4 linked regions of the Canis lupus familiaris genome follow. The protein of the gene in region 1 interacts with the protein of each later gene in a pairwise test. Links are inferred from orthologs where the notes say so. Each region holds a gene or a part of one and is shown on either strand. Other genes may lie near its edges. The genes, in order: BCL2L13, PLN, PLP1 and TMEM86B.

What was found.
Region 2: the proteins of BCL2L13 (region 1) and PLN interact in binary tests that used the Homo sapiens proteins (3 or more experiments, as listed by UniProt). The two-hybrid records come from large-scale screens. The link is inferred for Canis lupus familiaris from reciprocal best matches to the Homo sapiens genes BCL2L13 and PLN.
Region 3: the proteins of BCL2L13 (region 1) and PLP1 interact in binary tests that used the Homo sapiens proteins (3 or more experiments, as listed by UniProt). The two-hybrid records come from large-scale screens. The link is inferred for Canis lupus familiaris from reciprocal best matches to the Homo sapiens genes BCL2L13 and PLP1.
Region 4: the proteins of BCL2L13 (region 1) and TMEM86B interact in binary tests that used the Homo sapiens proteins (3 or more experiments, as listed by UniProt). The two-hybrid records come from large-scale screens. The link is inferred for Canis lupus familiaris from reciprocal best matches to the Homo sapiens genes BCL2L13 and TMEM86B.

Annotation. Positions count from the first base shown.
Region 1 is NC_049248.1:697,003-701,862, forward strand, and holds part of BCL2L13 (bcl-2-like protein 13), read right to left. Parts: intron 2,914-4,860; coding exon 2,095-2,913; 3' UTR 1-2,094. UniProt on the Homo sapiens protein: May promote the activation of caspase-3 and apoptosis.
Region 2 is NC_049222.1:59,135,386-59,141,912, reverse strand, and holds the start of PLN (cardiac phospholamban), read right to left. Parts: upstream 4,177-6,527; 5' UTR 4,094-4,176; intron 1-4,093. UniProt on the Homo sapiens protein: Reversibly inhibits the activity of ATP2A2/SERCA2 in cardiac sarcoplasmic reticulum by decreasing the apparent affinity of the ATPase for Ca(2+).
Region 3 is NC_049260.1:77,738,992-77,745,582, reverse strand, and holds the start of PLP1 (myelin proteolipid protein), read right to left. Parts: upstream 4,477-6,591; 5' UTR 4,372-4,476; coding exon 4,368-4,371; intron 1-4,367.
Region 4 is NC_049222.1:103,190,720-103,197,266, forward strand, and holds TMEM86B (lysoplasmalogenase), read left to right. Parts: upstream 1-2,389; 5' UTR 2,390-3,469; coding exon 3,470-3,520; intron 3,521-3,784; coding exon 3,785-4,031; intron 4,032-4,563; coding exon 4,564-4,946; 3' UTR 4,947-5,167; downstream 5,168-6,547. Other genes in the region: PPP6R1 (serine/threonine-protein phosphatase 6 regulatory subunit 1), read left to right, coding at 85-265, 360-430, 566-647, 970-1,080, 1,162-1,233, 1,333-1,336. UniProt on the Homo sapiens protein: Catalyzes the hydrolysis of the vinyl ether bond of choline or ethanolamine lysoplasmalogens, forming fatty aldehyde and glycerophosphocholine or glycerophosphoethanolamine, respectively and is specific for the sn-2-deacylated (lyso) form of plasmalogen.

The sequences.
Region 1 (4,860 bases):
AATATCCTAAGCCACAGATCGCCTTTTAGTAGCTCTGAAATAAAACTGGTTTCTATTTGTACTTAAATGCATGTAGCTAATGGGTTTGAGGATCCAGAGATTACAAGTGAACACTGGAAGGAAAATAAAAGAGAAAAAAAAATCAAGGTAACTCATCAGTTTGCTTTTACCTTACACAAACAGGAAAGTAGCAATTAGAACAGAGTAACCCCAGTGTCAGAGCCAACTGTCAGAGACCAAGGAGGAAAACAATCTTTACTACATTAATCCCATTTCCCCCACCTCACCTCTAGCTATCCTAATCAAAGTGCACCAAAACCCTTTAAATATCACTCCCTAAGACACTAAAACTCAGAACATAAAGATACAACTGCATGATGAAGCTGACCAAACACATTTTAGACCTTTCCTCGACCAACTTTTAAATAGTATTGCTTTAGGGAGAACATTTCATTTTTAAAAATAAATTGAAAAAAAAAAAAAAAAACATTTAAAACATCAAGTTTAAAAAAATAAAAATAAAAAAAATAAAACATCAAGTTTTGGTGATCAGGATAGTAAAGTAATTTTATTACAAATTTCAGGATCTAAAAAAGTAATTTGTTACATTTACTAAGATCTGAGATGACCTGTGTCAAGCATGTGTGTCCTGCACAGTGACACACTGATCCTCAGGCATGAGAAGACACACTCCCACCCCCTTTTAGGGATGGGATCGGCCTGATGAAAGAAAGTTATTCTGATTCTCAACTAGCACTTACTGATTAGAGTTATTTTGGTTTATCACTCTGGCATTTGGACTGTAAAGAGTTCTGGGAAGAAATCTTATTCCTGAACTCTGAAAGCCACACTAGAATCTCGAGGGTAGTAGGCTCAAGAAATTCAAGCTTCTCTTTTCCTACTTTTTATTTCAATGGTATTTGGGAGACTTTCTGTATTTAATAGGAGTTATGATTCAATTGGTCTGTAAGCCCAAGTATGAAAATCCTTATCACATGGCAAGAGACCGCAGAAAAGCTAGTTGACTCTTAAGAAGACTGAGGCCAGATTACAGATAGTGACCATCCAGCAACAGATGCTGCCAGCAAGTCACCATAAGCTCAGTAGCGTGGCCATTACACAAAAGGGCCAGAAGAGACCGCAATAGGCCATCTAAGTCATCCATCCCCCTGCTTGACAATGAGACAAACACCTGCTCCCTAGCAGTTACTTGCCCTTGCTTGCATTCACAGGCAGGGAACCCTAGGCCTCTTTTCTATTTATGTTTTTAAAGATGACCGAAGGCAACATCTTTACAAGGTGGAGCTGTAGGAAGCATGAGGGACTTAGCGGACACAGAGAAAGCACTCTCCCACGTGACTTTACAAAGAACCTGGGGGTGAAGAGGAGCAATCAGTACCTGAGAGGCAGATGAGACAGAAGGGGAGCACCCTCACACTACGGGCCTGAGAAGGTGGGCAAGAAAAGAAGAGCCACAGAGGAATGGCTGCGAAATACAGCATATTCATCAGGAAAGATGAAATCCCAAGGGCAGGAACGACTCAGTAGCTGAGGAGCCTGCAGCTAAGCCCTCTTGCCTGGGACTTTCTGTCCTAGGTTCTCCTAAGTTAACCCTTTCCCTTCTAAAGCTGGGGCTCTCCACAGGAACAATTTTGCCCCCAGGGGACATTTGGCAATGTCAGGAGACATTTCTGGTCGTCACAACTGAGGGCAGGGTGCTACTGCTATCTAGCGGGTAGAGGCCAGGGATGTTGCTGACCAACCTATAGTGCACAGGACAACCTCCTACAACAAAGAATTAATCATGATGTCATTAATGCCAAGGTTGAGAAACCCTGTTCTGGAAGGAGTACTTTACGTGGATTCCGAATTTGGCATTAGCCAAGGCCCTTGGAACTTACAATCAGACAAACATGGATGCCCTCTACCTGAAGCTCTATCATGTGGATCAATGTACTGCCTTATTAAGCAGAAGCCCCCCATTATCCAAGATTGTTCCACAAATGTCCAAATCAGCTGTTGGTGATTCAAATTCAGTCAGTACAGCTAAAATCTTCCATCTTCCATCTTTTTTGTCTTCTTTTGAAAAATCTGCTATTTCTTTCTTAGAGCCAGTGCTACTCCAACTGCCACTGCCAGGATGGCAATGGCAGCGGCCCCTCCAAACAGCAGTATAGACTTGCCCTCAAACAGTGGGATGGCCTTCTCTTCTCCAGCAGGGGAGGGGACTTCCCGAAGACCCTCTCTCCTCACATGTATCTCCTCTTCACTCAGCAGTGTTTCTGAGGGTTCCAGCACGGGGATCACTTCCTCTTCCAGTTGAACAGATTCAACCGTTGCTGCTTTTGTCTTCATCAAGTTCTCTTCTTCACCAAGTTCCACCAACAAAGTTGTAGCAGGGCTGACTTTCTCCACTGTCATCTCTTCTGTGTCAGGCTCCCTCATCTCCAGAAAGGAAGTGGCAGTGATATGCGGAAGCAAGGGAGCTGGTGCTTCGGGGAGTGCCTCCCGCAGCTCCTTGGCTGGCAAGACAACAGATGCCACAGCAGCCTCCTCCACACCTTCAGGAATTTCTTCTTTCTCCACATGAACAATGTCAGAATTAGAAGAGTTGTTCTCACTTTTCTCTCCAGCCCCGTTGCTATCTAAGCTTTTGACTTCTTCAGGATCCATTGCAATCTGCTGCCAGGACTCAGGACCTAGGGACACAGGGAGGCTTTCTGTATGCCAACTCTGGCTGGCAGACAGTGAAACAGGTAAGCTCTCCGACTGCCAAGAAGTGGTCACAGTAGGAGACTCTGGGGGACTGACTTGTCCAGAGTTGTCACTGGGCAGGATATAAATGTCGTTGCTATCCTCTGCAATGACTCCAGGATATTCTTCGTCCTCTGACTCAAGGTTAAAGACAGTGCCCTAGAAAAGGAAGAGGAGAGTCAATACAAAGAATGGAAACTACATTTAAAACAAATATAAATCTGAGGGTGCCTGGGTGGCTCAGTCAGTTGAGCATCTGACTCTTGGTTTCAGCTCAGGTAGTCATCTCCGGGCTATGGGATCCAGCCCTGTGTCAGGCTCCAAGCTCGGCACATAATCTGCTTGAGGTTCTCTCTCTCCCTCTCCCTCTGCCTCTCCTGCTTGCACACTCTCTCTTTCTCTAAAATAAATAAATAAATAAATAAATAAATAAATAAATAAATAAATAAATAAATATTTTAAAAAATAACTAAAGTAAAATAAATATAAATCTGGAAAAAAAGAATTCTCTCCTAGGGCAGCCCGGGTGGCTCAGCGGTTACCACCGCTTTCGGCCCAGGGTGTGATCCTGGAGACCCGGGATCGAGTCCCACATCGGGCTCCCTGCATGGAGCCTGCTTCTCCCTCTGCCTGTGTCTCTGCCTCTCTCTCTGTGTGTCTCTCATGAATAAATAAATAGAATCTTAAAAAAAAAAAAATTCTCTCCTAAACTGAAGTGCTAGGACTAAATACATTGTTTAAGCCTACCTAGTTTCTGGATTGAATGCATTTACTTGTAGATCACTGCAGAGGAAGAATTTTTAACAATCCATTCCTCTAACCAGTTTCCTTGAAACTAAAAAACCAAAATTTGATTTCCATATTTAACTCAATGTATTTATATTTGATGCAATAATTAATGCAAAGCAGCAGGGAAAACAGAGGCTCTCAAGGAATTTATCACTTAGTAGGGCAATGCTATCCCACAGTCCAAGTACTAGTAAGGGTTCAGATGGGGAGACGTGGACTTCTTTCAGTGAAGGTTGTAGCAGGCAAGCAGATGACAGAACTACTTGGAGAAACCAGCGTTTATACTAGGTTTCTGAAGGATGGGTCAGATTCCATGGGGAAAGCCATGCAGGAGACACAGCACCAGCAAAAGCACAGAAATATAAGAGGGAAAGAGTAACTCAGTTTAAGCAGTGCGCAGTGTACATGAAGAATAGAAAGTTCAGTTGGGGAAAGGACTGATCCTGGAAAACCTGACAGAAAGCTAAGAAATATGGACTTTATTCAATAGGAAATGGTTAGTCCATGAAATCTTGCAGCTGCACAATGACAGTCACAGCTCCACTTTAAAATTACTGGAGGGACGCCTGAGTAGCTCAGTGGTTGAGCAGCTACCTTTGGCTCAAGTCATGATCCCTGGGGTCCTGGGATCCAGTCCCACATCAGGCTCCCTGCAAGCAGCCTGCTTCTCCCTCTGCCTATGTCTCTGCCTCTCTGTGTCTCTCATGAGTAAATAAATAAAATATTTAAAGAAATAAAAAATAAATAAAATAAAATTACTGGAGAGTAGTAGCCTGAGGGATGCCAGAAATGCAGGACTCTTCTTTCTTTACACCAAAGTAATAAAAATAAATAATGGCAGTCTTCATTTTCACATTTAGCAGTTTAGTTCAACAGGATCCAGCAGGTGTTTATTGCTTATTAGGTACCATGTCAGGCACCAGCGTTATAAGGAAGAATGAGAGGAGACTCAATTTTTGTTCTTAAAAACTCACTGTCTAGATGTGAAGACTGACATATGAATAGCTAATTAATTTCCATGTGATTCAGAAAGCCTTAAGACAGAATACACACAGGACAGTATGGGACCCCAGAGGTTACAGTGTGATCAGGAAGGCAGGAAGAGGAGTGGCGCCTGGCTGGCTGGGTCGGTAGAGCATGTGACACTTGATCCTGAAGTCATGAGTTCAAGCCCCATGCTGGGTGTGGAGCCTACTTTAGAAAAATAAAGTATTTTCAAAAGGTGGGGGTGAGGGGCAGAACCAATGGAGTGTAATGTTCACAGGGACCTACTGAAAGTTTTACAAAAAATCTGGATGACTTTCAGAAATGCCACAG
Region 2 (6,527 bases), on another chromosome or scaffold:
TGTCCTTTTTGCAGATATCTGAAAGTGATTGTGTATGCAATTTTTTTTTGATTTGTTGAATTAAGTCAGGACAGTTCATCATAGATTTATAATCAGTCTGTGGGTATCCAGAATTTCTATTTGGTAGAATAATTTTCCTTTTTTCAAAAATATTTAGGGGATCCCTGGATGGCTCAGTGGTTTAGCGCCTGCCTTCAGCACAGGGCGTGATCCTGGAGTCCTGGGATCGAATCCCACATCGGGCTCCCTGTGTGGAGCCTGCTTCTCCCTCTGCCTGTGTCTGCCTCTCTCTCTCTGTGTCTCTCATGAATAAACCCAGGCGTCCCATAATTTTCCTTTTGAGATTGCCTAATACTAAACTTGAAAGTTTTATTTGAAGTTGCTTTGGCAGCAATATCCAGAACTTTGTTGGTCCACACTGGCTATTTGAAAGAATCTTCAGGCTGCTTCTGCCTGGTTATGGAAAGAATTGTGTAAATATAAAAATCAATATATTCTCAACCCCTAAATTGACTCCATAATGAAATATTTTCCTTGCTGTAAAGCTCTGCCTTGAGGAAAATTCATTAAACAATAGCATAGAGAGATTTTTCTCTTTGAAATTGTCGCATTGCTGTTCCTGTTTTGTCTATAGGCTTGTCTTAATTTATCTGTTTATTATGTTAAAATTAATTTTTTAACAATTACAGATTTCTTTTACTCTGTAGTCATTGAGACTTCAGAGTCTTCTTTTGGGGAAAAAGATGTGGGAAGAGAATGCAGGGGAGAAGTTTGAAGGAAAAATGAACGCTAGTTAAATAAATCCCCACTAATAAGTGAATTGGTCTTTTTTTTTTTTTTTTTTTTTGAAAGACCTGAAGGTGGAGTACAGTTTAAAAATCACTAGAGGTCCTCAGTAGACTATGAGTATACTGGGGTGGAGCTGTAGGCCCAGGCTTCACTTTATTGTGTTTATTTGGTAACACATGCTTCAGAATTAGATAGGGTAAGAACATTGAAGTATAATTTCTGGACATGTTCAAAGAGACTATGTATTATTACCTGATTTAGGTAATTGTAATTTAGAAAGATTATTTCCTTGATTTTTAACCTTTAGGTTTATTCCTTTGCTACTCTGATCAACATTTTTCATTCACAGTTTAGATGAAAGTCATTTTCATAGCATAAATAACAAAGCAAGATTCCTCTGTCCAAGCACTTAAATGGGGCAGAATATTTTAAGTGGTAGAATGTGGGGAAGCCAGAAGTGAAATTGAAGTAAGGATTTAATATTGGAATTGGAATAAAGTACAGAAGTGTGGTTTTTGTGAAAAGTTTTGAGAAGTTAACCTAATTTTTAGGCATCAAGGCTAAATAGATTAAAGACATGAATTTTAGGAAAGAAACAAATTAAATAAAAGGAGATGTTGATTGTGGTATGTTATATTGTTTTTTTAAAGCCTGTGCAGTTATTTTGAGTTTTGCTTTCCATGGTCTATTGCTTAATAACAACAAGGACATCTATAACTTTCTTCTATCTCTGTCCTTATAAGTGATCAGGAGACTGTTATATAGATTATTAAGGACATAACACTGCATGTATAAATTAGCTTTAAATGAAATGGAGTGGTTTTAAATTAAAATACAGAGGTCTGTGTCCTCTAACTTTGCATTTAGAGTACCACTAACATTATTTGAGGACGTTCAGTTTATTTTGCTTTGCCAATGTCATGATGTATTTTTAAGCCATGTTCATCAGTGGATGTGATGTGCATGTGGTTTAGAGTTCTAAAATCTTGGCTTCAGCCAAGGCCACCACCATTTCCTAGTTCTGTGACCTTGCAGTTCACCTTTATGCATCTGTTTCCGAAATTGTAAGAGATGCAGTGTCAAACATACAGGGAGTTAAAAGAATCAAATGAAATTTTTGTATATAATAGTACATTTAGAAGATTGTACAGGAGTAAAGAAGGAAATTTTAAATGACTTTATTTCTAGGACTGGTAATAAATATACAGTCTAACTTAGAGAGTTATCTAATCTTTACATTTAATTTTTACTTAAAAATTTAATATGTTACATGATCTAACACATTTCATAATATATTGCATGATCATTAAAATTTTTATTCTTTTATACAAATTTTATTTATACAAATACTTTGTTTATATAACTACCCTATCTCCAACTTATTAGTGAGATTAAGAAATAATACATAAAAATATGTAACCAAATACAGGTTTTTTCTCTGGAATATTATTTTCCTTAAAGAATATTAGTGGAATATTATTTCCACTAAAATGTTGTTAAAATAATTTTGATACTTGAGTTTTAGGAAATGGCAGTGACTGACTTCTTAGTAAAGCAAGTACTTTAGCTCTTTTACATGTTTTTAAAACAATCAGTTTTTCATAAACATCCTTCATATTTCTTCCATTTTATTTTATCTCTCACTTTTTTTTTTTAACAAGTTAAACCTCCTGTCTTCTTAAAACAAAGACAATGCTTAAATTTCATCCTATGATAGAGATAAACTAGTTGGGACTAGTCTGCCAGTAGGGTATTTCTGTTTGAAATTTGAAGAGCTGTCACTGTAATTTTTATTAGCCTGTATACATTATTTATTGAAGAATAACTTTAATAGCTGAATTTGTGCTCTTTCTAGAAATTATCAACTTTTTGGAGCAATATGTGATGTGAAATTCTTGTACCATAAAAGAGCTCATGAATATCCCATTTCAAGTGTGAGAATGTAATTTGATAGGTATTTGAGTAAAAATGCATAAATATGTGTATAAAACACCTGCACCAAGTGACTTTCATGTGATACCAAAGGAAATACATTTTATGAATATAAAGATATTGAGAAGTGGTTACAGTATCTCAGTGGTAGGCAAAAATTAGAAATGTTTTCACATGTCTTAAGGAAAGCTGCTTGTGGAATTACAAAGTCCTTTTCTGTAAAAAGCAATAGAGTTAATATCATAGGAGCTTAGAATTCCAGAGATAAATTTTATTTTGACATACATATGAAAATAGAAATGAGATAAAATTGATGTGATTCTCTATGTCCTGACTGATAGAGATTTAAGAATGAAGATACATTTTGTATATTAAACTGAGGATTGTAACATCAAGAGTAAGTGGAATTCAGACAGAAGTCATAAAATGTATCATCTTCATCTCTGGGCATTTGAAAAGTTTCCTTCTCCATCGTTCCCCCCCTCCCCCTTAAAAATGCAGGAGAGGATAATGAGAAACCACGGAGGATAGTAACTTGGTAACAGTATATTCATTAATAGGCGGAATAAACATTTTATCAGATTCACTAAAATGAGATATTTAGGAATGTTCTGCCAAAATAATGTGTCTTTATTTTTTAAAAGTGCCAAATTAGTATTCTCTAACTTTACAAAGAATTTTACATGTGTTTTTAATGGATGTTTTAAAATTTCCAAGCTTGATTTCATGTAAGTAATTGAATTTATTAAATCTTGGAATTATTTTTAGAAGTGTTAAAAGTTGAGTGGACTCTATAGAGAGGGAAAAAGTCTTCAAATGCATTTTAAAATTAGTTTGTTTTATATTTTAAAAAGTTCTGTTAAATATTTATTGTAAAGAATCATACTGATAATATTGGAATAATCATGCCAGCAGTGTGCGTGTTGTACAATCACACGACTGTTCATAGTATCACAGATGTAAATAGAAGCCCAGTCCTACCCTGTTTTTCAGCACAGTAACAGATAACAAGATGTAGCCATTGTTTTTGCTTGAAGGAATAAGATCTCCATTACCACCAAATATAGTTACATAATTGAAAGATATTTTAATTGGAAAAATCCACTTTTCAGAAGCAAAAATGAAAGTCAAATTAAAATGACAAATCACTAACCAAGGTCAAAGATGATGCGACCCTTATTATTTCAAAGTTAAGTCTTGCTCTTACTGTCACCAAACAGGCATTTATTTAGAAATTAAAGTTTTTGTCATATCACACATTTTATTAACTTTGAACTGAAATTTACAAAACATGGTTAACTCTTGAAAAAGTTTAGTAATTTTGAATTCTGAAAAACAAGAATTACCAAAATTAATGAAATCTATTTCTTACCTTGGCTCTTGTGATGATTACAATATAAAGTATTGTGAGTTGTATGAAGTCTTATCGGTGTTTAGTTAGAAAGTTTTCTGACTCTGTTACCAGACTTATGGCAACAATTGAAGTAGGTGTAGGAGGAAAAGTGTTCTAGGGAGGTCTTATGATGTCATACAAGAATTCTGAAGTTATGATTGGTTAGCCATAGTCTTATCACAACCAAACCTTTTAGAATGTCACTTATCTTACTTTGAGTATGGAAAGGTCATTAACACTTTGTGCCACATTTTTTTGCTTGTAATTTTTAAAAGTGTATGGGAGATAAATGAAAAAAAAAAAAGTTTGGGGTGGTAGAAAGCTCCCTTTAAAGATTCATGAATCTTCAGGCTTAGAAATAATTGTGTACTGATGGTGATAATGTTGAAGAACTAAAATAGATATATGGAATTTTAATGAGTGAGAATATTATTGGCTTAGTCAAATAACTTTCATTGTATTGTCGCTGCTGTTGCTTTAATACTGCAGTTTCATACTGTTAGCTTCTAACAATACAGCAATTAAATATTTTCACAGAATCAAGTTTTATATCTTTCACTGTTTTATTTTGTTCTCTGTCTTCATATATTTATATGGGAAAGGATGTGTGTGTGAGGAAACCAGGCTAATGTTTTCAGTTTAAAAAATTAGTTTTATCATAGCATGTAAGAACTGATACATGTATTTAATTAATTTGTGTTTTTTCAGGTAGAGCTTTAACAATATATTTATGAACAATAATTATAATGTTTAAACTGATATATTACCCCAAGAATAGTTACAATTTACAAATTTCAGTATTTAAGATTTTTTATTTAACAGCTGTGTTAAACTACCATAAAATCTTTTTTTACTACCATAAAAGCTTAATAAAATTTTAAAAAGTGGAGACAATATCAAAAGTAACTTTACAGTAAAAATGAAATAATCACAGATTCCTAATCAGTGGCATTCTAGTTAATGATGCTTTCTTGAAAATAAGTGCATTTTGTTTTACATTTAAGGTGCATAAAGTTTCTAAAAAGATTGCCTCACTTAATGCAGCAATTGTTTTCATGAAAATTACTATACAAATAAAGTTTTAGTAAATGGAATGGTATTTGAACTTCCTAAAACAGTTTATCTATAAGAATAGAACTGGAAAAAAAATTCTTTGGAAAAACGAGGCATCATTTTCCTGTTTTCTCTGATTTTTTGTTTATACTACATATTACATTTTCTTAAATCAACACACCTGCAAATTCCAATTTTTAAATCTCTTCTGTAATTCTGGAGGAGCTATTTGTTAAAATTTTTTTTAATGTTTATAGCAGAGTGAGCTCCTCCTGCTTCACTTTCTTATGGGTAACTAAAATGTAGTGCAGCAGCTGCTTATGTGTCCTTAAATGGAGATGGTTTTGGCTTCTTCCAAAGAAAGATAAAATCCTTCTCTAAAGCAAACCTCTTGTTATTTAAAGAATCAACTAAAACTAACAAAAAAAAAATATTTCAAAAGACCCTCCATGAACGTTGCTAAGGGAAAATTTACAACTTAAAAATAAAACCCCAAATTAAAGAAATTGGATGAATAATGTTTGACATTTTGCTCAAAAGGCTGCAGTTTTTCAATCCTTACATAATAAAGATCTCTTATTATCAATTGCCAATGATGACTGTAATATAAACCTAGGTTGAAAATATAAGCCTAGAGTGGTTTATAGTGGTTTGTCAAAGATGACAGCTGCTGAGCAATAGACTGAGGCTTCAAATCTGTACCTGTTGCCTTATCTGTGGAATGGGTTTGTTGTGAGAGATTAATGGGATGAAGTATGTGTCCTCACTATTAGAGATCCTGCAATGGAGTGTCCATTTAGTGTTAGTACAGTCAATCCTTGACATGGGGGTAGGGGTGCTGATACCCCCTCACACATCGTCGAAAATCTGCAGATAACTTTTGACTCCTCAAAAACTACTAAAACCCTATCATTGACCAGAAGCCTTATCCCTAATAAAACAGAACACGTACTTCGTATATGTGTTATATACTGTATTCTTATGATAAAGTAAGCTAGAGAAGGGCAGATGTTAAGAAAATCATAAGGAAAATACATTTATAATATTGTGCATATATATATATATTTTAAAAAATCCACATATAAGTGGACCCACGCAGTTCAAACCCGTGTTGTTCAAGGGTCAGCATGCTTATTTTCTCTTTTCCTTTAGAAGATGATTCTTAACCTGCAATCTATGGGTAGAGTTCAGTAGTCTTGAACTTGGATAGGAAAAAACAAATTGTATCTTTATTTTTACTGAACTCTGAATAAGATTTAGCATATCTCAGTTTCAACTGTAGGCTACAAACTTTAGCAATATATTTGACTGTCACTATAGTAATCTTAGGTAGTTTCATATATTTATTTATAGCTAGCTT
Region 3 (6,591 bases), on another chromosome or scaffold:
CAAAGGGAGGAGAGGAAGGGCTTTCATCGAAAGAGATGGTAGAAAGAGACTAATTGTGCCTTGCACAATTCCCAGCCTGTCCCTTGAATCCAGCTGACAAAGGATGAGATAGAAGAACCTTATACAATAGAGCTAAACAACAGGCAGGCTCATTGAGTGAAAAACTGGCCCCATCTCCCTAAGTCTCTAATCTGCACTACAGTCTTACCCTCCTCCCAGAATCCACCCCTTAACCTCACTCCATGAACAGAGGCCTCCTTGATTGGGGCCTATACCAGTTGACAGGGCCAAGATGCTAAAGCAACCGTGACTGGTACTGGGGATAGATGGGGATCAGTGGGTGGGTTCTAGGAGTAAAACAACAATCATCAGGAGGTACCAGAGACAAAGACTTTTGCTTCTGGCCTTATTCTGGTCAGACAAAGCCCTGCCTGTAATATTGTCCTCTCTATGTGAAATCAGCACTTATACCACATTCAAGTGGTGGAAAGGGGCCCTAGAGCCACTAGGACATGGGAATCCAAGCCTGATGGATAGTCAAGTCCTATGGATAAATTTAAATGAAAAGGAATCTCAGCCTATTCGTTGTACTGATATTATTATTACTATAACAACAGCATTTGGGCCAACTTGTTTCCTATACTCCCCACTTCACCCCAAACACACACACACACACACACACACACACACACACACAGATGCCAATATATACCCAAACATTGAGAGGTTTGAATAGAACCTTGATTATTAAACTCTATCCCTGACATATTGTCTTCATCTTGCCCAATTATGCAGAGGTAAAAGAGAAGCACCTGACAATAAGCTAAAAGACAACATTTTCTATACCTTCTTCCTTAGGTCACTCTCTTACCATTTCCTTCTCTCTCCTTGTTTGCAGTGTGAAGCTGATCTGGGAAACCTTGTTCTCTTCCTTGGGATGTCACTGATTCTTTTCCAGAGCTCTGCCTAGCAGAGAGCTCAGAGGCAAATACAGAGCTGAGAGATCACTCTTAGGACCATTTTCAAATAACCAAGGAGGAATTAATTAATCAGTACTTGCAGAGTGTTTGAGGTAAGTTTGGCACTCGGGAGGCCCTAACAATGGGAAAGAAAGGAAAATCTACTCTGTTTCCCTTCCATGCTGACGTGACCTTATCTGATCGTGCCACTGCCCTGACTTGATCTTCTCTAGATCTGAAGTTCTGTAGGCAAGGAGGGCATTTCTACAGTTGCTTTCTTTAAAGACCAAAAACTACACCCTGGGGATGGTTTTCAGGGCTTCAAGATAACACAAAAAAAGGCAACGAGGGGAAAAGATGCCACTGGCTGGGTGCCAGTGCTTTGATGGATTTAAACACTATATGTCCCTTCCCACCCATCTCTCAGGGGTTCTTAGACCTTATTACTACTCACATAGTTTTGATAGAGTAGTTCTAGTAATCAAGCTCTTGAGTAAACTTCCAGGTTTCATAGCCCAGAGCCAGGGCAAAAGCTCCTCTAAGCAGAGCAAGCATTTCAGTCTGCCTGGCTCTCTAAGAGTTTCTCTGGCTCTGCAGAGCCAAGGTGGGGAATGGGGTGGGGAAGGCTGTCAATATCATTTTAGTCATTGTCTGTAGGAAGAGTGAGTATGCTGTTTTGGATCTGGTATTCTTGTGGCATTTTCTGCTCTTGGCATTCTTGTGGCATTCTTGCCATCCTGGTGGGATTCAGTTAGTCTGCCAAAATTTTGTAAAACTGGACCCCTGCTTTGTATCCACACTTCTTTCTTTTCTGGGCTACCCTCACTTAGTCTGTACCAGACAAAACTACACTGCTCAGCAAATAGCCACCTTTAGAGGGAAGCATCACAGTCTGGTTACCAGGGTAACAGCCACTGTTCTCAGACAACAGGCTTGCAGGATCCAATGTTTTGCTGTTCAGTAATGGCATTGTGTTACTGAGCAGAGAATAATCAGATACTGCTCTTTAACTCTTTTTCAGTTCCATTGTTATCCCAAAGGCTCATTTGGAACATCCCCTTCCCAAGTCAGGACAAGGTTTAATGAATTATCATTTCCCCCATAAACCTTTTATATAGACAATACTGAATTCAGTGTTCCTCTCTGCTTCCCATCCTACAGGATTCTATGTGGTTGAGGTAGTGAGCTCTCTGTTTCTGGGGGTGATTAAGGAGAGGCCATAGGAACATTTAATTGGCTGCTATAGAAAAGAATTTTGCCTTGAGAGTTGGCTGAGGCAGCTTCTAAAGTTCCTTCCAGGGATCCCTGGGTGGCGCAGCGGTTTGGCGCCTGCCTTTGGCCCAGGGCGCGGTCCTGGAGACCCGGGATCGAATCCCACATCAGGCTTCCGGTGCATGGAGCCTGCTTCTCCCTCTGCCTGTGTCTCTGCCCCCCCCCCCCGTGACTATCATAAATAAATAAAAATTTAAAAAATAAATAAATAAATAAAGTTCCTTCCAATCCCAGATTCCATGATATAATTTGTCTACTACAATCGTTAAACAGCCATGTGCTCCATGTTTGGAGTGCACTCCTTGTTAGATATGTTCTATTATTTACAAAGTACTTAAGATACTTTGTTACCAAATAATTGAAAACTCAATGACTACACTCTCATGTGCACCTGGCCCAAAGATTGTCCACCTCCAAAATCTGGGATCCAATATACAATCTCAACTGTGCCCTTATCTGTGGCAATCTCCCTTGGAGATTCCCCTGGAAACAATCATCCAGCCTCCATAACAGGGAACTGTCCCTGTGGTCACCTCATTTGTTCCTGCCTTTTCCTCACAGCTCTCATCCCCTGAGGAAGTAATATTCAGCATCGTTCTCTACTCCCTCTCCATTTTTTTAAATTCACAATCTACTTAATCAGCTGCCCTGACATTACATAGGGTTCCTGATGTCACCAAGCGTAGGAACTTAGTTCCTCTAACATTCACCTCTCACCTGGCTACACTCGGTCAAATGATTTTTACCCAAGTGCACAAAATATACACAAAGAAAGCCCAAACCACTTTGGAAAGATTAAGAGTCAGCTTATACATGTGTTATTGTATAATGATTGGTATTATCATTATCTAAAATTGTTATAGAGTTTTCCCATTTTTACATCCACATCATTATTACTTGATTTTTACAACCCTGAAAGTAGACAAAGCAACTATTTTTATCCCCATTTTCCATATGATAAAGTGATAATTCACTGTGACCTACCCAAGGTCATGAAGTTCATAAGTGGCAGATCTGGGATTTGAACCTGGTTGTGTTGATTCTAATCCAGTGCCCTCCTCTCTTAATTTTCCATGCAAAACACATGATTCAAAGATCTCCCTCAGGATGAAACAATCTAAAGGCTGACACCAGCTTAATATAATCAAAAACCTTTTTCCATGGATGTTGCTGGAGTCTTCTGGGTACTACATATGATGGTGAATACACAGGACAATTAATTCTCACTTCATTTAGGATGCATTCAAGCTGCTATTCTTTTGCCAAATGTGAGTGTTGTCTACATGTCTCCATGGCATCCTGTGTGGACAAAGATCCTTGTGCTCTGTATATCTTACTCTAAGTAGACGCTACCAAAGACCAGACCTTATAGCTTCTGTCTTTGTTCATAGAACCTGGAGAAGCCTTCAGTACTCAACCAAGTCGGTAAGAGTGCTAATGTCCCAGCAGCTTCCTTGTCATAGGAGGAATTTAGAGTCTGAATCATGTCCTTTGAAAGGCTAAGTCTGTGATTTTTGCTAGATATGGTCACCCATATATGTATGTGTGCGTTTGCATGCACGTACACATATGCTACCCATATTGACTCCCCATGGTAAAGCCACTGAGGCCTTTATTTTCATTTCCTGGACCTGAGATTGGCCTTCTCACCCATAGCCAAGCCTGAGTTCCATCTTGCCCAATTCCCCAATTTCCTTCTGATGCTAAACAGGGTCCAAATTTTTTATCAAGCAAGCAGTTATTTTATACATCTGAGGGCTAGCCAACACTCATTTGTCTCCAGAAGAACCAGGGTTGTCAGCTGACCCAGCCATTACTAGGGCCTGAGAACAGGGGAAAAGAGAAGGTAGAAGTGAGGGGGTAGGAGGACACATGACCACATCCAACCCTCTGGGCACTCTCTCCAAGGACCTATGGTACTCTCCACGTGCTGCTGGAGTTCTTTGGCAATAAAGCTACATTCTCAGTACAGCAGAGAAAGGGTTAACCTAATTGAGTGCTAAAGAATTAAATAAAACAAGTGCCAAAAACACAACTCATTGAAACCATTGGAAACCCCAAGCCCTAGAGTTGGAAATTCTCTTGCAAATTTCTGTGCCTGCTTGAATCTTCCATGCTAAAGTCTTTGAAACTCACCCATGTCTTTGGAACTCTGACTCCAATTGTAGCCAGCTGGCTAGTCTGCTTTGCTGCTGACTTTGTTCAGCTGGAAGGATCCTGGTCTCTCCAGTCTCCTTCTTCGGTCCTCTACTTTTTCTCTCTGAGTATCTTTGTCCTCTTCTCCTGCAATGAAAAGGGCTTTCTGATTGACAGCCAACCCCCTTAAAGAGACAGGCCTGCTTTCCTCCTCCTCTCCTCCTCCCCTTCTCCTCCCCTTGTCCCCACCTCCTTAGGGATACTCCCTTCTCTAAGGGCTCCATCTTCTTTTTCTGCTTTTAACTGAAAATTGTTTCATTTTCTGTTTTTCTCCTTTTCTCTAAGCCTTGTCTGTGTGGAATTTCACTTTGCTGCAGAGACATCTGGAAATGTGGTTTGGGGTAAAAATAAAAAAGAGGTCCTGGAAGCCTCCAACTGATGCTTGGGTCTATTTGGTATGGGATATGACAGCACAAGTGTCAGAAGCCATGGAAGTTGTAGCCCTGGCCAAAGGGTCAGGGTCAGAAACCTAGCTGTTATTCCCAGAGTCCTTCCAACTCTGCCCCAACCCCACCCCTCACTCTTAGCTTCTCTTGGCCCTGTCCACCTTTCTCCTCCCCCTACTTCTTGGCAAAGAAGCATCCCTCACCCTACCCAGCAATAGAATCACAATAGAGAAGAAAAAAATTGTCTTTTAAAATAATTCCTTCCAAATCTTTCTTGGTTTCAACTGAATGAGGACAAAACACAAGCTGTTGATTCCATAAACAGATTTTGACCACGCTGGGGGAGGCTACAATTGTAAAAATTGTATAGATAGAATAACAGAGACCCAGAGAGAAGACAAGACCTATGCATGTTCACAGAATAAGGTAAAGAGGTCATTTAGGGATGTGGGTGATTTCCAAGGAGTTTAATTGACTTTGAGACAAATCACTAACACAATCTGGGAATCAGGTAGTCAATATCCCATCCTGAGACTGTAGTGTCATAAAAGAGCTAAGGCCAGGCTGGTGAGAGGCAGAGAGCAAGTTGGGGTGAGGCAGCAGCTGTCAATGAAGGTGGAGAGAAGGGGAAAAGAATTAAAGTGCTTGCCTCAGAGAAAAAAAAAACACTAAGAAAAAATGGCCAAAGAAGCAAAAACAGGGGAACAATATATGAAATCTGCCCTGACAATAATACATGTTTCTAAAGACTGTGAAGATATTTGAGTGCCTAATATTAGGTGAGATTAGCCAGGGAAGGTTTTCTAGAAGAGGTGAATCTTAACCAGTGTCTATGTAGGCTCCTTGTTTGTGTTCCCTTCCCTTCAAGTGCCTCAGAGGAACACCATTCTCTCGATCCTGAGGGCCATATTCTCCCACAGGTAGCCTATAAGGAAACTGGTTGGCATATAATTTAAGGAGTACTTGTTGGAAGACTCTGGGGAAGAAGATATGACCCCTTCCTCATCACCATCAAAATTTCCCTATAGCTTTGCCTTGGGGATAGAGAGGAGAAGAAGGAGATACTGAACAGAGCCTACAATCATCCTGGGGGAGGGGGGAGAGGCAAGATTGAATCTTACAGTTTTCTCTTTGGGCTGTGACCTTGGACCATGTTTCTGGCTTGGGCATTGCTATTAGGAAGTGGTTGAGTCTTCTATAGATGCCCCTGTGGCTTCACCCAGGTCCTGAATCCCACCCAAAGAGAAAGGGTCCTTGGAAATGCCTCTTTTGCAGAAGTATATAGTGGCAGTTTTGCAGATCAGACTAGAATAAGACCACATGACTGATGGTAGAAGCTCCCAGGACTCCTGACCTCGCTATACCTGCTCTCCAGTCATAGACTCTGCCTGTTGAGGAAGCTGGGCTGTAGGATTTTGCCAACAATTAACTTCTGGATGATCATTATCAGAATAGCCCTGGAAGAGAGGGAGGACCAAAAGCAAGAAGTCACCAAATGGGTGCCCTCAGCTCCTCAGATGGCAGAAGGAACTGAGTCCAAACTTTGGGATTCTGATTTAGGCAATGAGAGAGATGGTTTTTCATGGCTCAGATAGAAAAGACAGCTCTGCATGCAGGGGAAATTGCTCAGGCTGAGCCTCCTTACAAATCTGCCCTTGAACTTTCAGCAGCAGCTCTGGGGAATGTTAGGCTACTTGGAAGAAAATATTTGTTCCCAGTAAACTCACAAACATCAATTTTTCAACCACATTTTTCTTCTCTTTTCCTTCATCTCTAGC
Region 4 (6,547 bases), on another chromosome or scaffold:
GAAGGCACAGGGTGGGATGCAATGGGGTGCCCATGGGGTGTCTGCCTCCGGTGCTCACCCCGCCCCTCCATTCCCTCCCCCCAGGCCCCAGCTGGACAGCCACCTTTGACTCAGTGCCTACAGATGCCCTGACCGGCCCCCGAGACTCTGGGGAGAAGGAGCCGAGCTCTGGGCTCTTTGCCCCACAGGGGTCCCTCAGCATACCCCGGGACCTCCCTGCCTTGAGCCTGGCCGGCCCTGTGGCCTGCACCACCCTGCAGCTCAGGTGAGGCTTCAGGCAGACGGGTACCCAGGTCCCAGTTCACTGAGGCTGGAGTGCTGACCCCCGCTGGCCCTCGGGCTGCTTTTCTTGCCCCCAGGTCTCAGGACCCCGTGTCCCCCTCAGCACCTCAGGAAGCCACAGATGGCAGCAAAGTAGCAGAGCCTTCGGGTGAGCGCTGCCGCCTAGCCCCACCTGCGCTCCCCATTGTCCCCCAGGCTGGTGCACACTTGGCACACTGGGGCGAAGTGCAAGAGTAGCATCACGCTTACTGAGCCTTGTGTTCCCTGGCCTTTCTCTTCACAGCCCCCTGCCAGTCCTTGGTCAGCATTGGGGACCTCCAGGCCACACTCAGAGGGACATGCTCCACCCCCAGCTCCTTGGACAGGTGACTGACTGGGGAGCAGCTGCTTTAGGGGGAGGCAGGTGGAGCCTGGCCCCTGGGTTGTCTCTGCGCCACTCAGGGCCTCCGGGCAGCTGAGGGTCCTGTGCTGTGCCCATACCCACATGTGGGTGCCCGGATCTCCCCAGTCAGCCCCCGGGGGCAAGATGGCTTCCAGAAGGGGATAGACAGTGTGTGGAGCCTGCGTCTCATCCAACCCTGAGCTCCTCCTGCCTGGGGTGGTTCCCAGGGGTCTCTGATAGGAGGGTCTAGCGGAATGTCAGTGATGGTAACCTTACTGATACCCAGCCCACCCCACTCTCAACAGTGCAACCAGAGACCCTGCTACCTCTGTTCCAGCCTCCGGGGCCTGCCAGCACCCCCAGACCACAGAGGGGGAGAAGAGCCCAGAGCCCTCAGGGCTCCCTCATAGCCAGAGGTGAGTGCCGTGCAGCCTCCAGGGTAGCTGGTGTCCTGTGGGGGGAGGCACTGACCTTTCTGTGTCTCTATCTCCTGACAGTGCCCAGGCCCTTGAGCCACCTCCAATGCCCAATGGCTCTGCCCCCGGAGGGCCAGCGTCCCTGGGTTCCCAGTGAGTGGCAAGGGCCATGGGTGGTAGGTGGGCTGGGGCTGCACAGGTGGGTGCTTGGGGGATAGCGGGCTTCTCATATGGGTATCTCTTGGTTCCCAGGTAACTGCCCGGTCCCGGTGGTGGCGGCTAAATCCTCTGTACTCCACATGGACCCTGCCCGAGTGGGGGCAGGGTGGGGCCCATAGTGGCCCTGTTGCCCCATCACCCTGTCCCCACCCTCTCTGCCCCCACATTCTCTCCTTTAGACTCCCAGGAGCCCGGTGCCAGGGAGACAGGCCCCTACCCACCTCCATTTGCACTGAGAAAAGAAATTATGGAGTTTTGTCTCCTAGAATAAAGAAACAGAGTTGAGTAGAGAAAAAGAAGAGAGAGAGAGAGAGAGACCTATATTATATATTATATACAGAGAGAGAGTGGGTGGATGGAGAGCCAGGAGCAGGCCCGGCCAGGCAGGGCAGCTGGTGGGACCTGCTTCCCATCCCGGTGGGGTGGGGGGTGGGGGTGCTGTGTAGGGTCCTGGGGCCGTTGCCCACTCTCCCCTCCCACCATGCCTCCAGCCTCCAGTGCAGATGTCCACACCCACACTTGGTCAGGTCCACCTCGGGGGAGGGCCCGAGTGGGGGCCGTGCCTTTGCCCAAACCCTTGCCCTGGACCCTGCACTTTGACCCTGGCTGGGAGATAAAGGACCCACCTGGCTCTGCTGGCTCTGTGGGAGCTGGCAGTCCCCATCCAGGGGGTTTCTCCGGTGACATTCCCATGGGGCCCTGATGCACTCACTGAGAGCCCCCTCTTGCACCTCCCATGGACCCCGGGGGTGGGGAGTTGGCGGGGGTCTGGCTGGGGTCCCCTTCCTATGCCCAAGGGTCTGGGGTCCAGCCCAGCTGCCAAGTGACCTTGTCCCAGCTCCCTCTCCCCAGGCTGGCGTGAGTGTGCGTGTGTTCGTGCTGAGCTTCTATTTCATATTGCAAATATAAATAAAGACAGTTTAAATTCCTGCTCAGACCATGAGTTCTGGAATCTGGAGTTGGGTGTCCTGAGCTGCCCTTGCACCCTGGCCTCGGGCTTTGAGTTCTGGGATCTGGGGTGGGGGCCTGAGCTGCCCTTGCACTCTGGCCTCTGGCCTTGAATTCTGGGATCTGGGGTCGGTGGTGGGGGCCTGAGCCGCTCTTGTACTCTGGCCTTGGCCTTGAGTTCTGGGATCTGGGGTTGGGGGTTCTGAGCTGCCCTTGCACCCTGCCGTCAGGACCCCAGGCCTTCCCTCAGCCCCTGGGTATGGCCCTCAGAGTGCAGTTTGGCTCCTGGACCTTCATGATTTGCTGAGGGTGGGGTCACTTATGCTCAGACCAGGAAAGGGTGTCCCGGGAGGAGGAGCAGAGCCCTGCCTCATCCCCACAAGCTGTTTTTGGAGTCCCTCCATGCCCCCCAGCCCTGTGTATCCCGGGTCCATACATACCTCCAGTCTTGGTGGGGGTGACATGGCTGGGCGACTTTGCAGCAGTGATGTTCTGAACCTTGTCGCATGTAGTGGAGCGGTGGGTGCCTGTGGGTGGCCAACCCATCGAGATAGGTGGGTACCCAGTAAATCCATTCCTTCTAAACCAGAAGTTGAGCACGGGCCCAGTGCACTTGCAGGTTTGCACAAAAGTCTGTTGGGATGACATGCAACTCAAGCCAGCATGGAGCGATGACTATACAACCCAGCACTTGGCATTTGATCCCTCTGGATTGTCTGTGGACAGATTCTGGGGGCCTGAGGCCAGAGCTGAGGGTAGCGTGAGGTGTGGCCCCCGGGCAGCCTTCTGGGGGACGGTGGGCAGGGACATAGGGAGTTTCCATCCTGCACCTCCAGGCAGAATGGTCCTGCCACCTAAGACCAGGGATGATGGCGCTGCCCTGCTCAGGGGACCCCAGGTGCAGGGGAGGGCATTGATGGCCACGCACCTGTGCCTCCCTTGCCCTCCTGCCACTGCCAGGCAGCCAGGGAGGAAGCCAGGTCTGGTGGGCAGGGTCAGGGTACTGTGGGGGAGGAGGGACCCCTGGGTCCCCCGTGGTTGCCTTATCAGCGGTGCCAGGTGGGGCCATCCCCAGGGCGGGGGCAGCATCTCCTCGGGCCTGTTATCGGTCCCAGAGTCCACAGGACGCTCCTCGGGTTAACGTGTAACCACACACTGTCCCCTCCACCCCCAAAGCCACCCGTGCCCACACACACGCTACTCTGGGTAGTCATAGACCGACATGGACGCCTGGGAAGAGGGTCTGCCGGGAAAGCCTTGCTTCTTAGTCCAAGTGAGATGCCGGGTGTGGGAGGGGGTTAGGCCTGGGTTCTGGGGAACCTGAGCAGCCTGTGGGAATCAGGGGGCCCTGCCCTCTCTGGAGGCTAGACATCCTGGTCCCTGAGCAGAAGCTCCCCGCAACAGACAGCATGACTCTGGTTCCTGGGTTAGGGTGCAGTGGGGCCCCACCACCTAGTCCTGGCTATTGGGGCCTGCCCCCCAGGGGCCCGGAGCTGGCTGGGCTCTAGGGACTCCATGACCCCCTTGTCTCTCAAAGCAGCCACGCCTGTGCTGGTGGTTGAGCCCCTTCTTCCTCACCTGTGCTGTCTACTTCCTCCTCTGGATCCCTGAAGACCAGGTATCCTGGGTCAGCGCCCTCGTCAAGTGCCTGCCTGTGCTGTGCCTGGCGGTGTCCCTGCAGGCTGTGCGAGGGGGCAGGGGCTACCACACACGCCTGCAGGGGGCCCTCCTGTCCTCAGCTGTGGGGGATGCCTGCCTCATCTGGCCTGAGGCCTTTCTCTATGGTGAGTGGGGCCGCACTACGGTTTCTGGACTCCACCTGGACACGAACCCCTGCTCTCACAGAGCCCTTGTTCCCCTAGGGTATCAGGAAGCAGCAGTGCCTTAGGAGGTGGGAGTGGTGTGGAGGGACAGCAAGGAGGGGCTTCAGGTGTAGCAGTCTTGAGTAGCTGGTCAAGGATGGCCTCACCAAGGAGGTAATGTCTCAAGAGTGCAGGAACCACCTGAGGAAGGATGGTCTGGGCAGAGGGACTGGCAAGTGCAAAGGCCCTGGGGTGGGACTGCTGGCAGGTCAGAACAGGTGGGTGGGGAGAGCCGAGTGGGGAGCAGAACACAGGGACAGTTGTAAGCAGAGTGAGGATGGGATGCAGTATGCTGTAAGGAGAGGAGAGCTCTGCATCATGGGGGCTGGTACCATCCCAGCAGATGGGGATGGTGTGGCCAGGGTGCATGCTGCTGCAAGGGGCAGTCCTTTCCTCAGGCTCTGAGCTGCAAGGTGGCCACGTGGGAGCAAGCAACAGGTCCTGTCTCCTCCAGGTGTGGCTGCCTTCACCATGGCCCACCTGCTCTACCTCTGGGCCTTTGGCCTCACTCCCCTGCGGCCAGGCCTCCTGCTGCCCGTCGCCCTGGTCTCCGTCCTGTATTACGGCCTCCTGCTGCTCCACCTCCCAGCCAGCATGGTCCCGGCCCTGGCGGCCTATTCCTTGGTCCTGGCCTCCATGCTGTGGCGCGGCCTGGCCAGAGGTGGGACCGTCTGCTGGGGTGCCCTGCTCTTCACGCTCTCGGATTCAGTGCTGGCCTGGGATACCTTCGTCCAGCCACTGCCCCACGCCCGCCAGGTGGTCATGACCACCTACTATGCTGCCCAGCTCCTCATCACCCTGTCAGCCTTCCAGAGCCGCAGGCTCAAGACCACCTGACTGGGGTGGCAACATCCTGGGGCTCCCAGACCGGCCCCACCACTTGACACGGTGAGAACCGTATGTGGAAATCCACGTCTGTTGCCAAGGCCCTGCCACCTTCCCTCTGTTCTGACTCTGGATTCCAGACCCTACCCCCACAGCCTCTCACCTGCCTCCACCTGCCCTCCTCTCCTCGGCCCTGATCTATTTTGTGCCCAAGTAAAGTGGACACTAAAACAGTCACATCTCTGTTATGTGGGGGAGGAGTGCTAACAATACCAGTAAATGTTATTTTTTTCTTTGTTTTTGTATTTTTTATTATCGTTATTTTTTAAATATTTTATTATTTATTCATGAGAGACATAGAGAGACGCAGAGACACAGGCAGAGGGAGAAGCAGGCTCCCTGCAGGGAACCCGATGTGGGACTCAATCCCAGGACCCCGGCCGGGATCATGCCCTGAGCCAAAGGCAAATGGTCAACCACTGAGCCACCCAGGTGACCCTCTTCTTTTAATTTTTAAAAAAGATTATTTATTTAGAGCGGTGGGGAGGGACAGAGGGAGAGGGAGGAGAGAGAATCCTCAAGCCAACTCCCCACAGAGTGTGGAGCCAACATTGATGCTTGTTCCCAGGACCCTGAGATCACAGCCTGAGCTGAAAACAAAAGTCGAATGCCCAACTGACAGAGCCACCCAGGTGCCCCCCCCCCCCTTTTTTTTTTTAAGCAACGGAGCATCATTTTAACCATTTTTATTTTTATTTTTTTTATTTTTATTTTTTTAAAGATTTTATTTATTTATTCATGATAGTCACAGAGAGAGAGAGAGAGAGAGGCAGAGACACAGGCAGAGGGAGAAGCAGGCTCCATGCACCGGGAGCCCGATGTGGGATTCGATCCCGGGTCTCCAGGATCGCGCCCTGGGCCAAAGGCAGGCGCCAAACCACTGCGCCACCCAGGGATCCCATTTTAACCATTTTTAAATGTATGATTCAGTGCCATCAGGTAAGTACATTCACTGTGCTGTGCACTGAATGTGTTTTTATGATCATTCCCCTGATAGAAACACTGAGCTGGACCCTCATAACACCACATGTACAGAATAGAGTTGCTGACCATGGGCAGGCCTGGCACCCTGGGCTTAAGGAAGGTGGAATTCCCCCAACGTCCCCAGGTCAAAGTGGGTCCACCCCGTCCTCCACCCCCAGCAGTGACCTCTACACAGCAATGACAGCAGGAGAGGTGCCTAACAAGGTCATCTTTCACAGGCGGCCCGAAAGGGGTGAGTTTTAGGGTTTGGAGGAATATTAAGAAGTGGAGTCACCATTCTGTGCGTGCTAAGCAAGCATGAGGTTGCCCACGAGCACGTAGGAGACATGTCTGTACACACGCACATTATGCTAATGATGCTTATGCCCACCTTTTTTGCGTTTAGGGACTCTTTTTTTTTTAAGATTTTATTTATTCATGAGAGACACAGAGAGAGAGAGAGAGGCAGAGACACCGGCAGAGGGAGAAGCAGGCTCCATGCAGGAAGCCCAATGCGGGACTCGATCCTGAGACCCCAGGATCATATCCTAAGCCAAAGGCAGATGCTCAACTGCTGAGCCACCCAGGCA